Sus scrofa: one gene and its partner. The protein of the gene in region 2 purifies or fractionates together with the protein of the main gene of each other region. This does not show direct contact. Links are inferred from orthologs where the notes say so. Each region holds a gene or a part of one and is shown on either strand. Other genes may lie near its edges. The genes, in order: NPTN and ATP2B4.

Region 1 (4,379 bases), on a different chromosome or scaffold from region 2:
TTCCGCTGCGCCACGATGGGAACTCCAGATTCTTTGCTATTAATGGTTACCAAAAACATTCAGAACTTGAGTAATTTGTGCCTCTTTTGGCTTTAGTTGCCCTACCCCTAAATGAGCATAATCATTTTGTAAGGATTCCTAATCAAATGGTGATTTTGATTATGGTTATGATGAGGCAGGATGGTTGTATCTGACCAAAGCTTCCATCAGCTGAAAACACTGGTTCTACCACAGGCAGCCCTGCAACCCTCCACATAGAGCTGTTTGCTGAATATCCTTTGTTCAAAGATACATGTCAACCTTTTTGTTACACATCTGAGGTTTTGAAAGATATAGTTTCATTTCCGTGAAAACATGCTATACTTATAGACCCAGTGCTTTCTAGAAAACTCAGTCTGGAACCACCAGCTGTGTGGTTCTTGCTGAAAGCTTATAGACCGCTTTGGCTTGAGAGTGTGAAGATTATGGTGAGTGCTTCTTCTTACAGTTTCTCCAAGTTTTCTCTTCGAAATGAGTCAGGTCACTGGGGCTGTTTACTTGGCTCCTCTTGGTTTCACTCCACAGACACTCCCCAGGATGTCTGCTCTGAGTCAGGGATTAGCTAAATCACAGAAACTCCTTTACCAACCAAGGATTGACAGGGCTCGGGGTAATGCCAAAAATACCCTTAAAAAGAGCACTTCCCAAACTTCCATGCAAACAGTAGTGACCACATTGCCAGAGCACTTGGCTGGCTCCCTTCCTATGGATGGTTTTCCTGTACAGTCATTTTTCTTCCTAGTTCCTCTGATAGACTAGGTTGTGAACTTTTTGATCTGGGTTTCACAGCAAATTAAAAACTTGGTACACAGCAGGTACTCAAATGTTGGCTGTGTGAAAATGCTTCTGAAGAGTCTTCGTATAAGTTAATACATGATGGCATCCTTATAGAATTTATTGTCTACATTGTCTAACTAGCAATTAGGCTAGTTGAACTTCAGGCCTGAGATTCTAAGTAGTTAAAACAAGGCCAAAACGAGGGGAGGGGGGGCGGGGGGAATAGAAAGGCAAGGAAAAGGAGGACATTTCACGCAGAGGGAGATGAGTAAAGCACAAGGTAATACCAGTTGTCATTTAGCCTGAAAGGTTAAAACATGGGGGTTAACGTGGGAGGCTGAAGCCAGATGTCAGGAGGGAGTCTAAGGTCAAAGTCCAGATGGAAGAAATAGCAGGACTTTGATAGAGAACAATGAGAGGAAGGCTTAAAAGAGGCGGTGGTGCATTAAATTTTGCAGCCAAGCGCTCCAACAAACGAAAGGCAGGATGGGCGGAGGAAATATTATGTTCCCAAAGCTTCCTCTTATTTATGGGCGTTTCACAGAGGGATAAGCTAAATGCAGACTTCTCGGTTCCCCAAGGCCAGGAGAGCTTCAGGAGCCCCGCCTCTCCCCATCACGTGGCCAGAAGCACCGTTGGCACGTGATCCACCTCGCGCTAGGCCAATCGGCCTCTCCAGGGGCGGGGACACAGAGTCCGAGGGGCGGGAGGATCGCTTGCGGCCGCCTCTTCTCGCGATCCTTGACGCCGTCGCTGCTCAACCGCCCACGGCCGGGAGAGATTGTCTCGCGAGGCCTGGGCGCTGCGGCGGTAGGAGGAGGACGGGGAAGGACGGAGCCGAGCCGCGGCTGCCTCCCTCGCTCTCTCCCTGGCACACTCGCCCGCCCCCTCCCTCCCTCCCCTCCCTTCCCCAGCCCCGGCTCCGGCCCCGGCCAATTCGCTGTTCGGTCTTCTGCAGGGAGGATGTTGGGCTCGTCGCTTCCCAGCGCCCTGGCCCTCTCGCTGTTGCTGGTCTCTGGCTCCCTCCTTCCAGGACCAGGCGCCGCTCAAAACGGTAAGCCGGGCGCCGGGGGCGGGCCGGGCGGGGGCTGAGGGACACTGGTGGCCGGAGGGAGCCGTCCAGGGCCCAAGGAGGTGGCGGAGCTGGGGGAAAGGGGCCCGTCGGAGTCTGAGGGGCTGCGGACCCGAGAGGAGCAGATGCCGGTTGGGAGTTCGAAGAGGCGAGGGTGTGAGAACCGGAGGCGCCTGTCCGAGAGGTGGGGGCGTCCGATAAGAGCTCGAGGTGTTGCTGACTTAGAGGCTCCACGTCTTGGGCTCGTCGCTCTCAGTCGGGGAGGGGACACCGAGGAAGCCGACGTGGGGAGCCGGAGTAGCGGGGGCGGATGAGGAGGGGGCGCAGCGTTTAAAGAAGGCGGCACAAGACAGGCGTTTGTGTTTAAGGTAATGGGGAGTGGTGTCAGGCTCTCCTTGAGACCAGGGGTCCCAGGCGCTGTAAATGTCCAGGATTCAACTGGGGCCCCGTGAAACTGGTGACATCCTTAAAAAAATAAGGGAGATGTTGGGGGGAAGGGAGTCCTGAAGAATACTGAGCAGAGTACTAGAGCCTTAAGGAGGGCATAAAGAATCAGGGAGCCTTGGCTGTGGAGGTGGAGGGAAGGTGGGTGGAAAGCCAAGGTAGTGGGTTGACTGCAGTAGGAGATCTAGAAAGAGGAGCAGCAGTGGCTCTAAATGAGATGGGGAAAGAGGGCTGGGTTTGCTAAGGAGGGTGGAGTGTTGGGCATTCTAGGGTAGTGGTTGGGAGAGCAAAAGGGAGTTTCTAAATAAGGAGAGGAAAATTGAGCAGAGGATGGGGAGAAAGGCTTGAAACTGAGGGTAGGGGGAATTATTTATTAGCGAAATAAGGGTGCCTGGCTCTAGAGATGGGGGTGGGGGAAGACAGAAAATAAAGGAAGGGAGTAAAATGCAGGAAGCCGGGGGTGTAATGTTGGTTTACAGTGTGGAGGATAAATTAGGGAAGGGAGGAGCTGAATGTGGCAAGTGTCTATGATACTGGTGGGGCCTTTGGGAAGGCAGGGACGCATAGCTGGAACTGCAGTGGTGGGATTGAGGGCAGTTACCGGAGAGAGGGAGATGAAGGAAGTGGATTTTTAAGATCTAAAAGTTTCAAGACAGAAGAGACATTATTTCTGAAGAACATAAAGGTAGTCCTTAGAATTCGTGTGCAGGGTACACTTGAAAGGAGAGAATTGGGTTTTGAACTGAAGCTCTTCAGAGAAGATGGAAACATGGTGATGGGGGATTTAGATAAAAAGATTCTGATTGTTGAGGGTATGTGTCACAATTGAGCTGCCTAATTGATCTTTTAGAGATGAGACTAGAAAGTGTTCTGCCTAATTGATCTTTCAGAGATGAGACTAGAAAGTGTTGTGAACTGGTTTCTGCTCTGTGGAAACAGTCTTTAAGAGGTTTAAAAAATATTTTTATAGGAAAAACATTTATGAGGGTGAACTCATACATGAGAGTGCTGGAGAAAGAGTTATAAACTATTTTTGCTAGTTCTTTGGGGTTTCATTGTTTTTATGCTAGAACAGTTTGCAGTTACTCTTGTGAATAGCTGACATTTAAATGTTTTTTATTAAAAAAAAGGTAAATGTTAGAGCTAATGGAGTTAAACATTCTAAAGAGAATCTAGGCTCAAAATGCTGAAGATTACAGTGAAAAGATATCAATAAAGATTGAAAAAGCATCATCAGTTAAATATAAGTGTTTTTTGCAGCAAATTGTGTGAATCAAATCTTGTGTATGCTTCATGGCCATGAATGATCACTGCAGGAGTCAGGAAGGAAGCATTTTTCTGTCTCTAGCATTGAATATGCTAAGTATATTGGGTATTTTCCTATTTTCCTCCAAAGCATGAGGCCACGGTGGAAAGCGGGATAGAATCAGTCTGATTTATCTTAGCAGTTTTTAGTCTGTGTTAATAATATGACTTAAGCCTAATAACTAATTTCACCTATTTGATTTGTAGATACAGCAAGGTTTCATTCGGCACAATTAGAGGTTTTTGATTTTTAACATGTTTAATCTCTGTGCTAGCATAGCTTCTTTTGAAAATTTATAATACGGTGAAATTGTAGTTTCTTAGCAACTAAAGGTTTTTGGATAGGCCTACAAAGACTCATCTGGTTGTTCTCAGTGATATGTGTTCTAAATACAGCATAGTGTGCAGCCTTTTCCTTGAAATGAGCTTGAATTTGATCACATGACATGACTGGTGAAGTGAAGCTGAGCTTGTAGTTGACCCAAATGAATGTAAATTTAAATCGAGAAAGAAATGGCTCTGTGTGTGTGTGTGTGTGTGTGTCTGTGTCTGTGTCTGTCTGTCTGTCTGTCTGTCTGTCTCTGTCTGAGGGAGAGGGCAAGAGAGAGAAAAGGGCTGTTTTTTGAATTGGAGTCCATATAGGTTAGGATGCCATTTTATAGCTTTCTATATAGCATGTCTATAAGATTCAAACTTTCAATTAGTAATAGCTTTACAGTAGTCTGACCTCATGTCATGGAGT
Region 2 (4,521 bases):
TAGGTGCTGTGAATCCCAGGAGGAAAACGAACTGTGGTCCTCCGGCCTGATCTTGAATCCAGCCAGGGACACAGAGGTGGTAACTGGGAGTGGAAGGGACCAAGGCTCTGAACGGCCCGGGAGGCATGAAACCTTCGCTCCAGCTCAGTGAGCTGTGGTGCACGGAATCCTCAGAGGAAGGCAGAGCCCGAGGCTGGAGAGGAGCTGAGGGAGAGGCTGCGACCGGGCGGGGCCGCAGAGCAGCCGAGGGGAGGGGTCGCGGGTAAGTGGCAGCACAGACCCCGCCCCGCGACCCGAGGGAAGGGCTGGGGCTAAGAGGAGGTCAATCCCCGCGCCCCGTCCCCCCACCCCGTCCCCACCACGCCGGACTCCAGGCCAAGGGAGCAGGCGCCTCGGTGCTAAATAGGGACCTGCTCCTCAAGGGAGAAGCCCTCCCGAACCTACCAGAATCTACCCTTAGTGAAAGCACTGAAAATGGAAAGGTCGGCCACAGGAACTGTGGGATTATGGGCCCCCCAAAGGGCAGGGGGGTGGGGAGGGGGAAGGGGCGTGATTTCAGGGTTGAACCTCTGCAAGATGGTGGCGGGGAGGATGGGGCTCCCGAAGAGGAGCAAAGAGACGGATTCCCCTCCCCGCCTCTCTACAGAACAAGGGCATGGATCTGGGCCGGGGTTCCCTGCCCATTGGGTAAGGCCTCATTCCCTTCCCCAGAGAGAGGAGCTGTCTGGCCTTGGGGTGCAGGCAGATCCATCCCGGCCCCATTTGTGCTCTCTTCCACATCGTTTGCTTCCTTCTTTCCAGTTTCTGCCTTTACCACTCATTCAACCAAACTAGCTGGGGCAGATGGCAGGTGCTTCTTTTTCGCCATTCGGCCCACCACCAAGTTTCAGGTGCAGGACCCACATTGCTGAGCCCACTCCCCAGGCCACTGCCCCTAGCCAGGAAACCTAGCTCACTAGCCATCAGGGCACCACCCCCTTCTGCCCTCCTCCTAAACCTTTCTCTACCTAGTCCGTCCTGACCCTAGGCCCCTCTCCTTCGCCAGTCTCAGCCTAGAATGACCTTGGTCTCTTCCCCTTCTTCCCTGTAAAGAGGGCCTGGAGCTGAGGGGGTGGGGGATGACCTCCAGATAGAATGGGCAAGAAGGGGCAACTAGGAGATAGAGGACATCCGGGAGGATCTTAAGACTCCCTGCCAGACACCCCACCCAAAGGAGGAGGTGGCAGGCTACAGTGGGATTTTACTTCCCCTCCCCCAGTGGTGTCAGTTGAGTGCCCGCCTATTTCTTCAGCTGAGATTCCCCCCTACCAGGCCGGCTGGCGCCGACATCCGTCTGCAAGTTATTCTAAGTCAGGCAGGAATGCCCAGGAGGGTGGTGTCTCTGGCCAGCAGAGTGCCCACTCTCTCCCGGGATGTGGCCAGACACTCCTGGGTCCTCCACAGCCAGCAAGAGAAAAGCGGTGGGTCCTTCAGTGAGATGGAGGAGTGTGTGAGGCTGGACTTGCCTGGGGAGGATGCCAGCCGGCCTCCTCCACCACGAGAGCGAGCCAAGTATTTGAGTGAGTGTGTTTGTGAACGACAAGCAGGAGGGACAATCCCAGTCTTAATTTCTAGCTCTTTAGCAAGTGGCCCAGGCTGCTCGGGGACCCTCCCAAGGATGCCTGTGGCAACCCCCAACCGCCAAACACTCACCAGCCCCACGGTCACCAGCCTTGAAACTGCAAACTTTCAAACTTCACCCCTTCTGCTTTCTCCCCTTTTGACCAGCGATGTACGGGGCGGTGCCCTCAGAGACACTCATACAGTTGGTTCTTGACGCTCCACACACACTCAAACAACAGCAGTACAAGGGAACTCCCAGCTTTTTCCACTGCTAATTATAGACGTGAAAGTCTGAGGATGTTTTGCGAGCGGTAGAGAGAAACTGCTGAGGTTTCCCTACAAAGCCAAAGAAATTTAATTTGTGCACTGCCCTTCCCCACTTGCAACTTCTAGCGCCTACCTCCACCCATCCCCCAGTGAGCCCCTCTCCCAGTCCCCGATGCAGCCCCTCCTTCCTGTTGAGCATTTTGTACTCAGTTCTTTTTTTTTTTTTTTTTTTTCCCATCTCTCTTTGGGGCTTTCAAGAAAGGGAACAGACGCGGAAAATATTTTTGCAACAGTTTTCCATTCTGCGTCTCATTCCCAAGCCAAGGGGGAGGGGAGGGCAGGAACGAATGGGGGAAAATAAATGCTTTTTCCAAAAGCTCCATTTGGGTATGAAAAATACAGTCTCTCCACTTCCCTAGCCCCACAGCCCAGGAATGACAAAAACTCGAAGGAAAAAAAGAGAAATCACTTGTTTGATTATACGTTTCTCAGAACTGAGTCTAGGAAGGAAATATAGTATTTGACAAATCTGTGCGCGAGCACAGACACACACACCCCTAAACCCAGCTGCAAGAAATATGCTAGGAAGAGGAAATTCAGAGAATTTTATCAGCCACTGAAAGGAAAGAAAGAAACTAAGTTTGCAAATCAAGATTCAATTCATTCTCTGCAAACCTACCTTTCTTTCTAGCAGAGATCCAGGCTTCTCCACGCGGGACTCTTTCTCCGGGTTTCCATGGACAGAGGTAGGGGGGGGTGACGACCCACCGGTGTCCCCCGTGTGGCAACCACGCCGGAGATGCTGGCTGGTCTCTCCTGCCTTTCCAGCTACGACCGGGGAGTGGGCTGGGTCTCCTCCCCTAGCCCTCCCAAAGGAAAGGACCTCTCAGGTTCCTGGAAGAAAAGGGTGCTGGGAGCTGGGCGGGTGTCTCTGGGCTTGCCCTCCTCGGGGAGACCGTTCCCCAGGAAGTTCGTGCCCCCCCTTCAACCCCCCGCTTCAGACGGTCTCAACAGCAGAGCTTTCTTAAGAAAATGCTTGTCATGGCAACAGCTCCAGCCAACTCGGGCCAGACTCCTGCTCACCAGCCGGGCCTGGGCGGGAGGAGAAAGGGGAGGAGCGAGGGCTGGAAGAGGGCGGGACTTGGCGAGAGGCCAGACCATTACTCTACTGTTAAGGTGGCCCGATGGCGAGCTGCGGCTTCTTCCTGATTTGTCTTAAGGGGGACTGGGGGAGAAGGGGAGGAATCCTCTTTTCTGTGGGGTTTCCCCCCCGCCCTTGCTCTCCCTCGTTAAAAGGAAGGCAGGGTGGGGGTGGAGGTGGGAGTGGATGTGGGTGGCGGTATTCAACCGTTGCTGGGTGGAGGGAAAAAAAGGAAGCTTTTGCAGGCGGTTGGTTTCCTGCAGCTCCGCTCAAACTCTTAACTCACTTAGAACCAGGACCCGGGAACCCAAGGTGGCTGTGAAAACTTGTACAATTCCCTGCCACCCACCTGCCGCTGGTCTGAAGGAGGGGCTCCCTGGAGGAGGAAAAGGAATTGCTCAGACATACACACCAGTACATAGCTTTGCTTATAGACACACCTTAGTAGACACTCCTCACCCAGATTTCACACACACAGTCCCGGGTCACACTTGGCTCCCGCTTGCCTCTGTACCCATCAGAGGTACATCCACAGTGCATAATAGCTGCCTGTTTTTCAGTCCTACTACGTGTGGGCTATGGCACCAAAAGCTTTGCATATATGGTTTCGTTTCTAATGCTCATGGCGATCTTGAAAGGTACTTATTATCTTCATTTCAGAGTTCAGGAAATTGAGAATCAGTGACTCGCCCAAGCTTCCACATCTGTTTAATAATAACAGAGCAAGGATGCAAGCCCAAGTCAGACTGACTCCAAAGCCAGTCTGTGTACTTTCCTGCACTTGTATCATGCTACAGTACACATTTCCATTTTAATTTGCACACACTCAGACATCCAGGTACACTTATACACAGACTGTAAACTGTTAAATCACACCCCAGCAGCCACACACCCACCAGCATTGTGCAACAGTGCCACCCATAGATTTCGCCTAAAACCTTCTGGCTTTCAAGTGCAAACATGCATCCCCGACTGGTTCACACTGCATATCTTCATTGACTGATAAATTCCCACGCCGTAGACCTCAGCACACACACAAACACTCACTTGCTAATGAAGGCAGGGTGACACACCTCACAGATTAGAGTGGTAAACTAGGATGTGGAGAAGCTGAGTATTATCATCCTGGGCTCTTAGCTTTCTTAATCATTGGAAATTGATAAGAGGCCAGACAGGAAAACTCAGGTTAGGCTTTACTGGGGCCCCTGCAGCAGTTTCCAACGGTTTCCCTTGCTGGCTCGCTGGGGTGGGGATGGGATACGAGCTGGCTCCTTATTTGGGGTGAGTGTAGGGGCGGCTCCAGAGGTTGGGCCAGAGGAGTGGCTTAGGTGGTCTGCTCTTTGGTGACTGTGTGCAGGGGGCAGGCCTATTACCCTGCTTTTACTCTCTGCTCTTCAGAAGTGGTAGTTGCGTTTTTAGTTTTTTTGTATCTTCTTGCCCATAATCTGTCCCAACTGCGCATGTATGAAGCTATTTTTAAACACTTACAGTTTCTTTGTATTTTGTTGCTC

What was found.
Region 1: the proteins of ATP2B4 (region 2) and NPTN purify together in Homo sapiens (co-immunoprecipitation; 3 studies listed by BioGRID and IntAct, with this or other methods). This does not show direct contact. The link is inferred for Sus scrofa from reciprocal best matches to the Homo sapiens genes ATP2B4 and NPTN.

The regions. Positions count from the first base shown.
Region 1 is NC_010449.5:59,767,037-59,771,415, forward strand, and holds the start of NPTN (neuroplastin), read left to right. Parts: upstream 1-1,377; 5' UTR 1,378-1,779; coding exon 1,780-1,870; intron 1,871-4,379. UniProt on the Homo sapiens protein: Probable homophilic and heterophilic cell adhesion molecule involved in long term potentiation at hippocampal excitatory synapses through activation of p38MAPK. May also regulate neurite outgrowth by activating the FGFR1 signaling pathway.
Region 2 is NC_010451.4:64,334,914-64,339,434, reverse strand, and holds the start of ATP2B4 (plasma membrane calcium-transporting ATPase 4), read right to left. Parts: upstream 2,972-4,521; 5' UTR 2,549-2,971; intron 1,939-2,548; exon of another isoform or gene 1,693-1,938; intron 1-1,692. UniProt on the Homo sapiens protein: Calcium/calmodulin-regulated and magnesium-dependent enzyme that catalyzes the hydrolysis of ATP coupled with the transport of calcium out of the cell. By regulating sperm cell calcium homeostasis, may play a role in sperm motility.